Elephas maximus indicus: one gene and its partner. The protein of the gene in region 1 purifies or fractionates together with the protein of each later gene. This does not show direct contact. Links are inferred from orthologs where the notes say so. Each region holds a gene or a part of one and is shown on either strand. Other genes may lie near its edges.

Evidence for each region.
Region 2: the proteins of DDX23 (region 1) and TSSC4 purify together in Homo sapiens (affinity purification with mass spectrometry; 3 studies listed by BioGRID and IntAct, with this or other methods). This does not show direct contact. The link is inferred for Elephas maximus indicus from reciprocal best matches to the Homo sapiens genes DDX23 and TSSC4.

Annotation. Positions count from the first base shown.
Region 1 is NC_064822.1:104,287,627-104,295,179, reverse strand, and holds the start of DDX23 (probable ATP-dependent RNA helicase DDX23), read left to right. Parts: upstream 1-4,519; 5' UTR 4,520-4,610; intron 4,611-7,553. UniProt on the Homo sapiens protein: Involved in pre-mRNA splicing and its phosphorylated form (by SRPK2) is required for spliceosomal B complex formation.
Region 2 is NC_064825.1:135,486,112-135,493,956, forward strand, and holds the start of TSSC4 (protein TSSC4), read right to left. Parts: upstream 3,123-7,845; 5' UTR 772-3,122; exon of another isoform or gene 764-771; intron 192-763; exon of another isoform or gene 1-191. Other genes in the region: CD81 antigen, read right to left, coding at 3,732-3,794, 3,863-3,949, 4,548-4,649, 5,053-5,157, 5,492-5,566, 6,322-6,419. UniProt on the Homo sapiens protein: Protein associated with the U5 snRNP, during its maturation and its post-splicing recycling and which is required for spliceosomal tri-snRNP complex assembly in the nucleus.

The DNA of each region.
Region 1 (7,553 bases):
TCTCCCTGATGGCTAATGACAATCTTCGGCATCTTTTCATGTGTTTGGTGACCATTTGAACACCCTCTTTGGTGAAATCTCTATTCAAGTCCTTTACCCATTTGATGATTGGATTGTCTTTTTGTTGTTACTGAAGTTTTATATATATTTTGATTCTCTGCCTTCTTGACCTTCTGATTCCATTGTTAATGGCTGCTCAAGTTTCAGAGTACAGTGCCAAAAATAAAAAGTTACCATTTATTGAGTGGAGCCCTGGTGGAACAGCAGTTAAGAGCTCGGCAGCTAACCAAAAGGTTGGCAGTTCGAATCCACCAGCTGCTCCCTGGAAACCTTATGGGGCAGTTGTACCTTCTCCTATAGGATTGCCATGAGTCGGAATCGACTCAATGGTAATGGGTTTGGTTTTAGGTTATTTTTTGAGTACTTACTATGTGCTCAGCACTGTACTGAGGGCTTTACCTACACTTTCTCATTTAACCTAAATTATAATAGCTAACATTTGTTCAATGTTTGCTGTGGATCAGGGGCACTTAAGAGTTCTTTATATTTTATTCCTTATGATAACCCTAGGAGGTATTACCTACCTGGTTTTACAGACAAGGAAACCAAGGTTCAAAGAGATTAGTTACCGTGCCCAAAGTCACATAGCTGCAAATTGGGAGAAGCTGGATTCAACTCCAGGCACTCTGGCTCCAGAACCTGTACTCTTTCTTTTTTTTTTTTTAATTTTTATTGTACTTTAAGTGAAGATTTACAAATCAAGTCAGTCTCTCATACAAAAACTTATATACACCTTGCTACATACTCCCAATTGCTCTCCCCATAACGAGACCGCCTGCTCCCTCCCTCCACTCTCTCTTTTCGTGTCCATTTCACCAGCTTCTAACCCCCTCCACCCTCTCATCTCCCCTCCAGGCAGGAGATGCCAACATAGTCTTAAGTGTCCACCTGATCCAAGAAGCTCACTCCTCACCAGCATCCCTTTCCAACCCGTTGTCCAGTCCAATCCCTGTCTGAAGAGATGGCTTTGGGAATGGTTCCTGTCCTGGGCCAACAGAAGGTCTGGGGGCCATGACCACCAGGGTCCTTCTAGTCTCAGACCATTAAGTCTAGTCTTCTTATGAGAATTTGGGGTCTGCATCCCACTGCTCTCCTGCTCCCTCAGGGGTTCTCTGTTGTGCTCCCTGTCAGGGCAGTCATCGGTTGTGGCCGGGCACCATCTAGTTCTTCTGGTCTCAGGCTGATGTAGTCTCTGGTTTCTCTGGTTTATGTGGTCCTTTCTGTCTCTTGGGCTCGTAATTACCTTGTGTCCTTGGTGTTCTTCATTCTCCTTTGATCCAGGTTGGTTGAGACCCACTGATGCATCTTAGATGGCCGCTTGCTAGTGTTTAAGACCCCAGACGCCACTTTCCAAAGTGGGATGCAGAATGTTTTCTTAATGGATTTTATGATGCCAATTGACTTAGATGTCCCCTGAAACCATGGTCCCCAAACCCCTGGCCCTGCTACACTGGCCTTTGAAGCATTCAGTTTATTCAGGAAACTGCTTTGCTTTTGGTTTAGTCCAGTTATGCTGACCTCTCCGTATTGTGTGTTGTCTTTCCCTTCACCTAAAGTAGTTCTTATCTACTACCTAATTAGTGAATACCCCTCTCCCACCCTCGCTCCCTCCCCGCTCTCGTAACCATCAAAGAATATTTTCTTCTCTGTTTAAACTATTTCTCGAGTTCTTATAATAGTGGTCTTATATAATATTTGTCCTTTTGCAACTGACTAATTTCACTCAGCATAATGCCTTCCAGATTCCTCTATGTTATGAAATGTTTCACGGATTCATCACTGTTCTTTATCAATGCGTAGTATTCCATTGTGTGAATATACCATAATTTATTTATTCATTCATCTGTTGATGTGCTCCTTGGTTGCTTCCATCTTTTTGCTATTGTAAACAGTGCTGCAATAAACATGGGTGTGCATATATCTGTTCATGTAAAGGCTCTTACTTCTCTAGGATATATTCCAAGGAGTGGGATTGCTGGATTGTATGGCAGTTCTATTTCTAGCTTTTTAAGGAAGCGCCAAATTGATTTCCAAAGTGGTTGTACCATTTTACATTCCCACCAGCGGTGTATAAGTGTTGCAGTCTCTCCACAGCCTCTCCAGAACCTATACTCTTAATTGCTCTGCTGTCTCATCCTGTGAGGCAAGCGGTATTATTATCCCTGGTTTGTAAATGAGGAAATAGAAAAACCAAACTAATGCCATATAACTTGCACAAGATCGCAGTACCAGTAAATAATTCAGTCAGGATTCAAACCTGGTCTCAATGTTAGCTATAATGCCGTGGGTCCCTTACTGTTAGCCATGTCATATGTAAATAGGAGACTCTGCCTATGGCCTTCCTAGGGCACAGTCCCTCTGTTTCTGTCTCAAAAGATGCATGTTTGGGAGAGAACCAGCAGGGTAAGACAAACAACACTGAGTATTCTTTAAGCTCAAGATCTTATTTGTATTATGAGAGAGGTGTGTACAAGTACTAGGAGAACTATTAATGTGGACAGCCTTTGTCACCTTTCTGGGTCTCAATAGCCTCATCTTTAAAGATGGTGAAGAATGGTAGTCTGGAAACAGGGAAAGAGCATGGACTCTGAAGTCAAATAAACCTGGGGTTGAATTCTAGCTCCATTCTTTTAATTATGTGGCCTGTGAAGGCTTAAATAACCTTTCTGGGCCACGATCAGAGCCCTGGTGGTTAAGGGATGGGCTGCTAACCAAAAGGTCAGCAGTTCGAATTCACGAGCTGCTCCCTGGAAACCTTATGGGGCAGCTCTACTCTGTCCTATAGGGTCACTATGTCAGAATTGACGCGTCGGCAGTGGGCTTGGCTTGGATTGGGCCACAATCTCCTTATCAGTAAAATGGAAATAATACCCATCTCATACAGCTATGAGAGCTAAGTAAACTAAGTAACATAAGTTAGGGCAGCACAGAGTTCGGCACTTAAAAGATTCTCAACAGTAGCTGCAGCTCTTAGATTTCCAGGCTACCCCTGTGGGTATAATTTAGTTGGGGTTCCATTCTGTGAGTGGAGAGCCCTCTAGGGTTCACTGGGTGAATCACATCTCGTAGATCTTGGGCTTCTTTTTTTCTTTCACTTATTTCTGGGGTAGAAACGGAGAGAAGGTCAAAGCCTTAAGAGTTCCAAGAGCAGAAATGTGCAATGATCCCAGGGTTACTTTGGGCCATTGTGTGTGATGCTCAGGGTTTTAGGATTTCATTATTTGCGTCTATCCTGAGGCTTTGCTTGGAGAGAACTGAAATCATATTCAGAGAGAAAAGCCAGACTACAGCCCAGCGGGATAGAGACAACAAAGCTGATGATGGGAAAATTGGAAGAAGGCACTAAATACCTCCTGGTATCTAAACATCCTAGAAGTTGCAAGAGTTTTGTTTGTTTTGTTTTTTTTAGAGGAAGCATTATGAACCCATAAGCCCAAAGAAAAACAAAATGAGCACATAATATGGGGTTAAGGAATTCAGTGGAGGAGTGAAGAGGGGGTAATAGGAGGAAGAAAGAAGTGTAAATCCCAAGAAGGCCCAGATCCAGATCCAAAAAGGCAAGGAAATGAGAAAGCGAGGGTCCTACCTGGAATGTGGAGAAAGAATGTTGAGAAAACGGGTACCACAGCCCAGGGATACTTCCCTCCTAGGAGGACTCTGAAATGTGTGGGTTCTTTTTGAGTTGTCACAATAGCTGAGGTTACCGGCATTTACCCCCGAGGGACCAGGGTTGCCTAAAAAGTCCTCCAAAGGGTGGGATAGTCTCGCACAAAGAACTGTCCCGCTCTTGTGAAATACTAGGCTACCCCTGTAACCTAACCCTTAGTTCGTCCATCTTTAAGACGGGGCTAATAATCTCGAACCTCACGTTTTTGCAAAAACGGCTCTCCACAAACGGTTGTAAGTACTTGCTGTTGATATCTAATGAAACTCTTAAATTCTTCCCCTGTAAGCCACAGGCCATGAGAGTCGTTATGACTGCAGTTTCTAATAATTTAAAAAAAAAAAAACAAAAACTTGCAGTGGCGTGGATTCCGACTCACAAGGACCCTGCAGGACAGAGCAGAGCTGTCTCACAGAGTTTCCAAGGAGCCCCTGGTGGATTTGAACATACCAACCTTTTGGTTAGCAGCTGTAGTTCTTAACCACTACACCACCAGGATTTCCAATTTCTAACGAGACCATCATATTCCAGGAAGATTACGCAGCTGAGAACCTCTTGCGGGAACTCAGCCGTCGGAAAACTAACCCCCCGCCCCCGCCCCCGCCCCCGCCCCGTCCGGGTCCCGCCCCTAGCCTACTCAAAAGTTTTGGCGAACCACATTGTCCAGCAGACCCCGCGGCCCGCGGCCTGGCGCAAGCGCTCGCGCCGTGCACTCTGGGACTGGTAGTTCTCATTCTCCCGTTGTCGGCCCTCGCTGCCCGGTGTCTGAAACTCGCCTTCCCAGTTTGCCGCGCGGCCGGGGGCGTACCTCCGCGACCAGGAAACGGGAAAGATGGCGACTGCTTCGCGACGTTGAGGCCGCGTTGGGCGGTTCAGAGTCAGGGTGGTGAGTCCCGGGCGATGGAGGCGGTTCCCAGGAACTTGCAGAAAGGGCGGGAATGGGAGTATGGTGGTGGCACATGCCAAGGGGGTAAAGAATGCCTCAGGGAAGGGACACGAGCCCGAGAAGGTCCTGTGGGCTGGGGCGAAGGGGCGCGGGGCCCCAGGGGCGGTGTTGGCTCCTGGGGGGCATAGGCCAGTCGACGATATTACGGGCCCAGACCTCCGTCCAAGGACACAGCACCTGTGATATGCCCAATCCGACCTTATTCCTTCATATTTCGAGTAGCCCTTGTTCCAGCCAAACGAACTCCAGCTTTTCTCCCAGAACCAATCTATGCTTTCCTGCCTGTGCACCTCCTGTATTATTTCTTTTGCTGGGAATGACATTCTTTCCGTACCCTCAGTTATACATCTTCAAATTCTACCTATAATTAAGACTCAAGAGCCACTACCTCTACAGAGCCTTCCACATCCCCTCTCACAAATGAAAGGAAACTCCTTGTTTGAACTCTCCTTCATCTGAGCCATCATCTTGGCATCTGTCCACTATATGTGTCTTCTCACTTCTGTTGTACTATGAGCTACTTGTGGACAGGGTCTTCCTCATTTCCATTAGCAACTCACACAGTGCCTAGGGTGCCTTGCATATAGGGAATGCTTGATAAAATACTTCATTGAGCGGGTATAACTCTCTAGATTGTAGATACTTGTTATTTTTGGTGATGGGAAGAGTAGCTCTGAATGTGGGTGTAATGAGCACAGCTTGACCAAAGAAAATGATGCCAGTAAGAACCACACAAGAGAAAAGGATATTTATACTAAACAATGTGACATATGTAACTTGGCAACACCAACAATAACCAAAAAGTGAGTGTATGATCACATATGTAGGTGTATAGGTACATTTGTATATAGGTAGGTGCAGATGTATACATATATGTGCACAAATAGAAGTATCTATGTGTATGTGTATATAGAGATAGGTGTGTGCACACATATTCATAGAAGATACTGTTACAGGTACTTCTCAGATGTAACCAAATACTTTGAATGCTTAGGATCTTAGCCTCATGGGACAACTCAGTCAGTTGGCATAATATAGTTCACAAAGTTCATATTCTGCATCCTACTGAGGTGAGTAGCATCTGGGGTCTTAAAAGCTTGCCAGCAGCGGTCTAAGATCCAACTACTGGTCTCTGCTCATCCAGAGCAAAGGTCTCAGAGAAGAAACTAATCTATAGGGTTAGTAGCCTGCAGGAGCCATAGCCTCATCTGCCCTGAGCCTGGAAGAACTATATGGTGCCTGGCCACCATTACCAACCATTCTTATCAGGGCCACAGTAGATGAACCCTGATAGAACAGGACTCAAATTTTTAAGAAGTCCAGTCCTACTGGACCAGTTGAGGCTAGAGGAGTCCCTGAGACTATTACCATGAGATCCTTTATAAACCTTGAATGAAACTATCCTCTGAGGTCACCTTTTAGTGAAATAACAGATTGGCACACAAAATAAAGGACATTATTTGTGAGTATGGTGCTCTATTAAAAAACCGTGTGTATGAAATTAGAAGATCAACAATTAAAGCAAAGATGAGAAGATAAGGGAACAGGGAAACTAGAATACTGGAAATGGAACAACCAGGTGCAATTAAAGAGGATGTTGACACATTGTGAAAAAGGTAACTACTGTCGCTGAGGAATTTGTATAGAGATGATCAAATGGGAACCTAATCTGCTATGTAAACTTTCTCCAAAAACTTAATATAATATTATTAAAAAAAAAAAAACTTCATTGAAAGCAAAAAAGAATCTGCCTCTGTCCTACATGAACTGAGGAATGCCAAGATTTAGAGGTTTGATAGGAGGTTACTTGGAAGCAGTTGGTCAGAGTCAGCCTGATTATCTGACCCTTGTGATAAATCCCACTGCCATTGAGTTGATTCCGATACATAGCTACCCTATAGGACAGAGTAGAACTGCTCCATAGGGTTTCCAGGGCTGTAAATCTTTACGGAAGCTGACTGCCACATCTTTCTCCCTTGGAATGGCTAGTGGGTTTGACTTGCTGACCTTTTGGTTAGCAGCCAAGCTCTTAGTAACCACTGTGCCACCAGGATTCCTATGTGATAAGTAGAACCTACAATAAAAGTTGCCTGTATTCACTGTTTTCGTATTCTCACTTCTCATTCTCTCCTCAGCTCAAACCACTCAGGCTTCTCTTCCCTCCATACCAATGAAAAACAGCTCTTGTCAAGGTCACTAACAATCTCATTTTTCCAAATGCAATGGCCACTTCTCTATCTCCTGTTTTTTTTCTCTACCTCAGTAGTAGTTGACACAGTTGACCGTTCCCTCCTTGAAATACTTTTTTGACTTCTGTGATGCCATGCGTTGCTTTTTGTTGTCCTTTCTTACTGGCTACTGCTTCTTTCCAGTCTTTTTCTCTGGCTCCTCCTCTGCCTGATCTGTAAATGTGGGAGTGTTCCAGAGTTCAGTCCTGAGTCCTTTTCTATTTTCTTTATATTGCCTAAACCAGAAAAAAAAAACCAAACCCGTTGCCATCGAGTAGATTCCGACTCGTAGCGACCCTATGAGATGGAATAAAACTGCTCCAAAGGGTTTCCAAGGAGTAGCTGGTGGATTTGAACCACTGACATTTTGGTTAGCATCCAAGCTCTTAACCACTGCGCCATCAGGGCTCCATTTATATTGTCTGCTTAGGTAGTAATTATCATTTAGTGCCCCGTGGCTTTAAAAATCATCTATGTTTTGGAGACTCAGATTTTTGTCTCCAGTCCTGAACTCTCCCCTGAGTTCCAGATTTGCTTATCCATCTACCTTTCTGGAATCTCCACTTGGTTGTCTTATTAACATCGTATTCTCAACATAGTCACAGTGATACTTCTGATTTCCTCCTAAATCTGTGCCTCCCCTAGTCTCCTCTAG
Region 2 (7,845 bases), on another chromosome or scaffold:
TGCACCCGCTGAGGAGGGGGACCGACAGACAGGGGCGGCTCTGCGTGCTCTCCATGGGGTCAGACGCAAGCGAGACGCGATTTCTGTGCGGCGGGGCTCCTCTGGGAAGGGACGACTTCAGGAGAGAGAGGGTTTTAGAGCTAGCAGGGCCAGAGCGGATATAATTTGCCCAAGTCGAAGCTAGAATTCCAACGAACCTGTTGCTTTCCGAATTCGCACTCTACCCTGCACCACCTTAAGTCACTAAGCAGCCTGTTCCGTGGGGCACGCAGCGGGTGCGTGGGGGACACAGTGACCGGGCCCCACGATAGGGAACTAGGAGGCCCGGGAGTCGCTTCTTGGACTCAAGGCCTCGGGTTCCTTCAGGGGCTCAGCGGAGGGCAGAGCTGGGTCCCGGCGGAGCTGAGGCGCGGGGGTGTCCCAGGCCCGGATCAGCGCAGACCAGGTCCCAGGGACCGGGAGCATCGGTTCCTTCCTGCTTGTCTGTCTCCGCCTTGAAGGCAGAGCCTGGCCTTACACCGCTCTACGCGCCCAGCGCCTCGCCCTGTGCCTGACACTCAATAAGCTCTCGGCGGCGGGGAACCAATCAAAGATCCTCGCGTGCCAGGGCCGGGGGGATGGGCCCCGGGTCCAGGCCTCAGAAGGCTCGGGGTCCCGAGGGCCAGGCCACGAAAAGACGGGGGAAACCGAGACGTCGGGCTGGGTACCGGGATGCAGGCTGCGGCTAGCGGCCACCCGAAGGCCTCCCCGACCCCAAACCTACCAGCTCACCGTTGCCCGGATGCCTCCATCTTGGTCGCGCCGCCTGCCGGGACGCCGCGCTCGGCCCTCTGGGAAACCGAGTCCTCCGCCGGCCAGGGGCCGCCGCCTCTGCATGCAGAGAACTACAACTCCCACGAGGCACTGGGTCCCTGCTCCCGAGGCCTGCCGGGACATGTAGGCCTGTGCGGGCATGTGTCTCAGCCAGATCGCCACTCCCCTGCACTAGGGGCTGGCTTATGATAGCCCGGAGGCCCCAGGGCTTATTTGAAAAAAAAAAAAAAACCGGAAATGGCTAAGGAGAAAAGGGAGGGAGGCCCCCGGATGCAGCTCCCAGAATGCTTGAAAGCCAGCGGCCAGTGCTGGGTTCCCGGGGCCCAGCGCCACCTGCCGGCACCCCCGAGGACTGCGGCGGCCTCAGGCCGGAAGCGGGTTCTGGCGCTCCAAGGACACATAGCCACTCCCCGGGCACTTCCGGCCCTGGCCGGAAGCAATGCGTTGCCTTTCCTTCCATCTGTCGGTCAGTGCCGACCAAGGCGCCCCTGCAGCGTCCCAGCGGCCGGCCCCACCCCGCCCCACCGGAGTCCCCAGATTCTCCAGGCGGGCCCCCGCAGTCACGCAGCCCCAGGTCAAGACCAGGGTCTCGACCTATGAGGGCTGAGGGGGCATCTTGGAAACGGGGCTCCGCGCACGTGGGGGCTGCAGGCGCGCCAGCCTCTCCCCTAGTCCCCATGGCAACACTTCGTACCTGCTCCCTGGGGACCTTCCTGGGCCCTGCCCAGGGACAGGGCTGTGATTTACCTCTAGGGTGTTTCCCCAGGGACAAGGACACAGCTGTTCCCTCCCCGTGTGCCCTAACCATTGTGTGCGCCGTACCTGAGATGGGGAGGCACTAATGGTGGCCCCCCCGTCTCCCGAGGCCACTGCTGTGGTCGTGGAGAGGTGTGGCTTAGGAGGAGGCTTGGAGGGAGCACCCCTGGGTGGGGAAGCCAAGGCTGCCTCTGCCCTGACTACATCCTTCCAGGGTCAGCGCCCATCCGGGGGCCCTGGGTGCCACTGACCCACTGGGAGCCGGAGCCCATGAGGCCTGGGAGGGCTGGGCAAGGAGAGGAGGGGAACCGAGTGCTTCGCTCCCTCCACTTCCAAGTCAGCCAGGACTGGTGGGCCCCGGGGAAAGTATGTGCTCCAAGAGCAGGCACCAGAGGGCAGCAGCAGGCTTGGGAGCTGACAGCCTAGTCCTTCTCACTGGCCTAAGGCAGGTCACGCCTCCCTGCCTGGTAAGGGAGGACGAGGTCCCAGGTTCTCTAGCTCAGCCACTTCTCTCTCGGCCCCCAGGCTTGTAGGTGGGCGGTGCTTTTGCCCCTTCTCTATGGGGGCACCTGTCCCACATTCTTGAGGTGCCTCTGCTGGGAAACCAAGGGTTCAAGGAGCTGCCCAGCCCAGAAGCACAAAGAGGGGAAGCTGGGCCCCTACCTCAGCCCCTGGTCTCCAGTAAACCTCGGGTCACCTCGTAACACTCCACCTCCCCCCACCCCCAGCCTCACCAGGAACCCACTGTGGGTCACTGCCATGCAGAAGGCAGGCTCCAGGCCCCTGCGCTGCAGCCTTGGGCGGATGTACCTGTGGGCCCCACAGCACAGCAGAAGCAGAGAGGATGGACTCCATGGACCTTCCTGTACCTGAACCCTACAGCCCAGGTGTGCAAGGTGCAGGCCCTCTGAGACCCTTTAACCTCCCCGTGCAGGGCTGGGGTTGAGTTCCAGAGCCAGTCCAAGGAGACTGCTGGGCTGTCACAAGGGGTTAGTTTAGCGTGTGCGCAGGTGGGTGCCACCCTAACTCCAGGTGATGTTGCCCAGCATCCCTGACAAAGCAGCCTGTCCGAGGAGAAGTCCCATCCCAAAGCTCTCCGTGCCGGGATGGGCGGTGGCTAGCCAGGTGGGTCTGCATAATGCTCACCGACTAGAAGAGCTTGGACTAAGGGTAGAGATCCAGGTGGGTCCCAGCGCACCCTGGTGGGCCACTTCACTGGGTTCCCCCATTGGCTGCTGAGCCCTTCCCAAACCAGACCTGCCCTAGCCACTGGCTCCTCCAACAAAGGTTCACAAGCACCCAAATGGGCGGGAAGGAAGGAAGGAAGGAAGGGGAAGAACCAGCAGTCCTGGTGTCCACCAAACCCTTCATAGCCCAGCCAGACAGTGGGCCTGGCATGGCCACAGCTGAGGCACTCACAGGATGGGCGGAAACCCAAGGCCTGGGCGGCGTCAGAAATGGTGAGGAGGGTGCCCCGCAGGAGTGGGGCACACATCCTCCGCCACATCTCCCCGCTGCCCCCACTCGGGGCACTCTGCCCAGGCTCGGTGCAAGGAAGGAGGGGCGCTACGGCCTACCGAGGGGGCACATCCCTGTGGCGTGCTCCCGGGCCCACTGCCCACCCCCGTGTGGCCCAGGAAGGGAGTCTGAGCCGTGCTAGCATGCCTGGTTTTTCCTTCTTTACTGAGTGACTGTTGTGACTGGAGATGACGTAATTACAGCTGGGGGTGACATGTTAGAAAGGAGCGCTGCCGTGGAGCTAAGAGCTCAAACGCTGCTCTAGAAACAGTCAGAGGAGGGGGAGTCAGGGCTACAAAAGGTGCGGGCTGACGGGTGGGGCAGGGCTGCGGCCCCTCAGCTTGCAGGGTCAGGCCCCAGGGCCAGGCAGGCTCCCTCCCTGGTCCTCAGAGCAGAGGAGCCTCACGGGCCCTGCCCTGCAACCCCAGGCCGCCGGTCCACTCCCACGTCACCCACGAGGGCCACCAGCCCTGGAAAGGTGGCAAGGGCTTGAGAACAAAAAGGAGACCTGGGAAACGAAAAGGCTGAGTGCACAGAGCAATACCGGGGACGCTATGTACACGGCACAGAGTAATACCGGGGACGCTGTGCACACGGCTGGCCGCCTCCGGGGACGCTGTGCACATGGCCGGCCGCTTCCAGCCTCAGTATACAGGGCTGTTGCGGATTCCACAGCACAGGACCATGCTTAGGATCATCTCGAAGATCTGCGGGGGAGAGGGGACGTGAGGCATGGCACAGGTGCTGGGCACCACCCCCCGAGGCCCCAGCTCACCATGATCACGGCGACCACGATGGCTGCGATACCAATCAGGTACAGCTTCCCAGAAAAGAGGTCGTCGATCTTCTGGTGGCAGTCCTCCTGCAAGGACAGACAGCAGGCGGGCTCAGGGTCCCCCTCAAGTTTCGCGTGACAGTCAGGCAACACAGAAAACGCACAGAGGACCTGGTACCATGGCTCTCCCAGCCCACCCTGGCCAGCCGGCACTCTCAGCACAGGTTAGCTCTTAACTGGTTACTGTGGCATCCACTCCGATGCACGGTGACGACCTGTGTGTCAGATTGGAACTGTGCTCCACAGGGTTTTCAGTGGCTGGTTTTTCAAAAGTAGATCCCCAGGCCAAGGACACTTGGTTCAAATCACTTCCGCATAGCTGAGTGCTACCACAGGTTGCTGAGGCCCCCAAGGGCCACCTCCGGCCTCAACCACAAGCATGGGCAGCCAAACACCAATCCCACCAGGCCACTCGACACCCTGGGCCTCAGACAACCTCACCTGGACTGCAAGCGATGGTGCCCCTCTTCGGTCAGTTCTGTGACCCCAGCAAGCCCGGCCCCGGCAGAGTGGTCCTCTCCCTGCTGGCCATGGCCCCAGGATGGGCACAACCTGCCCTATGCGTGCCCACCATTGCCCAGCTCCACCCCATGGCAAGCCCCAAGCCCCGGCCACCACTGCACACCTTGAAGACGTTGCTGAGGAAGGTGCTGCCTGAGGGACACAGGCTGTTCTTGGTCAGCGAAGTGGCCAGTGTGGTCAGTGTATTGGAACCACAGCAGTTCAGCTGCAGAGAACAGGGCAGCTTTAGTCAGGCTGGCAGGGGGCTTGAGGAGCACTGGCCAGGGGCCCGGATGGCCACAGAAGAGTGTCCCCACTCCCACCCCACAGTGCATCCTGCCGGGCTGCGGCCACCCCACAGGCTTGTTCTGCTCCTCCTAAGGTAACTGAGCCCCGAGATGGCCACCTGCAGTGTGCTGCTCAGAGACCTGGCTTACCCACTCCCACCCAGGGACCTAGAGGACAGAGAGGAGCAGCCTCCCCAAGGCCCACAGAGGAAAACGCCCAGGCTGCCCCTGCCCCTACCCCTGGAAGATTAGAGCTCCTGGGGCCCATGTGCACCCATACAGCCCAGCCCTGCAAGCCCCATGGGTCCCATACCCACCCCCTCAGACCCCCAGCAGCCGCACCGTCTCATGGAAGGTCTTCACCACGGCCTTGGCATTGCTGGCTTCATCGTCCAGCACGGCCTGCTGCAGGGCCTGGTCGTAAAACTGCTTCACGTCCTTGGCGATCTGCAGGGAGGACAAGCAGGCTAGGGGGTCACCAGAGCAGAGCCTACCTCCTCAGGTGGACAAGTGTGCTCACCTGACACACCTTAGGAAGGCGGGGTCCCCAAGATACATGGCGGGGGGGGGGGTCCTATCTTAGCTGGCCCCAGCTCAGGCCCAGTGTCGCTGCTTCCAGGAAGCCCTCCTGGACCTTACTAACATAACGGGGGGGAGCCCCAAGGTACACCCGCCATCTGTGGGTGAGGCTGGACCATCCCCCACACTCTGAACAGGGGCCATTCCTCCCCCCAGCATCCCCAGGTTGGGATGAGGACCTCACCTGGTGGGCCTGGCTCACCTGGTCCTTGTTGACAAAGCCCCAGATGCCGGCAGCCACTTCACAGGCAAACAGGATCACCAGGCAGGTGAAGAACTGGGGGGCCGCATGAGGGCGGGATGGGAGGAGGGAGTGGGCAGAGGAAGCAGTAAGTTAGTCTGGGGGCTCTTCCTGGGGCCCCAGGCCACCAGGCAGCATGGGGTTTGCCTTTTCGAGATGCAGCCACCCAAGTGACCAGCAGGATGGGAGGCGGGGGTAATCACCAAATCACCGTGTCCCAGGCGGCGTGAGCCATGAGGCCTAGTCATGAGCAAAACCTAGGACTCAGCCCAGGAACAAGATGCCAGAGCCGCATCCTCCCAACCCCCGATTCCAGAGCTCTGATGGTGGGTGGGGGCGGTGTGCTCCCCAGGCCCCTCCACCGCACCACCTGGTGGGCACGAGAGCAAGCGTGCCTAGTGAGCCCCAACACAGAGGGGCTGCCACGTCATGCCTCAGTCTCCCCTAGCGGAGACACTGGTACAGGCTCCCCAGCACACTGCCAGCCTCACCCCCTACCCGGCCAAGGGGAAAGGGGCCACCAGGCCAGAGGGGAGCAGGGCGGGGACTCTCTCCCTGTTGTGTTTGTGGCTTTTCTTAAACAAAGGAAGAGAGAGCCACTTTGGGGCTTAGAATCAGGATAAAGAGATAATGGTTTATCTAAGAGCCAACTGGAAAGTTCAGAGCCGGCCAGCCCCTCCACCAGGTGAGGGGAGGGGAGGGAGGGGGCGGACGTGCCTGAGCTCTACCAGGGCCACCTCCTCCCGGGTGCCTCCCCCTCCAGCCCAGGACCAGCAGGGACCCCACCTTACCGTTCCCAGCAGGCACTGTGACTCCTGGATGGCCCCATAGCAGCCCAGGAAACCCACAAACATCATCACAGCGCCCACAGCGATGAGGATGTAGATGCCTGGGGGTCGGGGGGTGGTTATATCACAGCACCTCGCTGCTCTGCCCTCATGCCCTCCCAGGCCCCCCCAGACCTTCTGTGCACAGCACTCTCCAATGCCGGGGTCCCACAGCCCCCGGCCCCTGCAGGAAGGGGGAGGAAGCGGATGGGCAGAGCAGTGAGGACCTGGTGCTGGTTCTGCCCAGGCATGTGGGCGTCCTCTCCTGCCTGTTTTCTATGAGAGGGGCAGGGCCACCTGTTGAGGACCACACAGGCCACCACGGGACAGACTGAACTTGTTCCTGTCCACAGTATGTACGTGAAGACCTGCCTACCTCAGTGCCCACCCACTGACCCCCACGCCAGCTCACTGCCCCGGGAGGTGCTGACTGCATCTCCCCAGTGACCGCCCCCCGAGATCAGCCCAACAGGCTCGGATTGTCTGCAGTGGTCACAGCAACACTGGCAGCAGCTCACGTCACCCTCGGTGGGACGGGGTCTATTGTCCACCACCAGGCCCAGAAAAGGCCGACCCTGGGCCACCTCAGTCTTCCCCCAATCTGGCCGGCCATTTCCTGTTGGCACTCTGCAGAGGGGAGAAGACTCAGCCCCTCCGTCAGGCTCTCCTGTCCTTGGCCCTGCACCAGCTCCACATGTGAGGTGACGCGAAGACCCCTGGCCCCCGCCACCACATCACTAGGGGAGGTTCACCAGGGTGACCCGGGGCAGCCAGAAACCATGCACACCAGGGGGTCTTGGCTTTCTTGGGTCCTACCAGGGGACTAGAGGCCCCCTCCTCAGGGTCTCTGGGAGACTCAGGTTGGTCAAGGGGCCACTCAAGGCCCCTCCTGAGGCTCCACTGGCAGATCCTACTGACAGCCCCCCAGAGCCCCCAGGCTCCAGTCGGAAGCCCGAGGACGACACTGAGATTCAGTCTGGCCCTGCCCCCTGGGGAAGGTGGCGGGGGCAAGCTCACCCTGCCAGCCAGCCCCACCTCCCAGCAGAGAACAAAGAGCCCTTGTCAGGGATCCCATCTGCTCCCCACCCCCTGCAGGGCCCTCCGGCACTGGGCAGGATCCTGGGCCAGAGGGGCTCTGAGTACCCCCAACTGGGGGGTCCAGCCTCTACAGCTGATTCATGTGGGGTCCAGGCCCTGAGAGGTCACACCAACAGGTGGGGGAGGTCGTAGCAGGCTGGGAGTCGGGTCCAGAAGGCAGGTGAGGTGCATAGCCTGAAGGAGGGCTGGGAGTCTGGGCGGGGGGAGGGGGGAGGCATGCTAAAGACCCTCCCAGGACCTGCTGTCCAGGCCTTCTCTGTCCGCCCTTAATGCCCTGTGCCAGCCAGGCCCGGGAGCCAGTGCAGAGCTATGGGCTGCCCAGAGACTGGGGGTGGGGCGGGGTCTCCCTACTGATAAGGGTCCACCTGACAGATGAGCACCGAGGCCCAG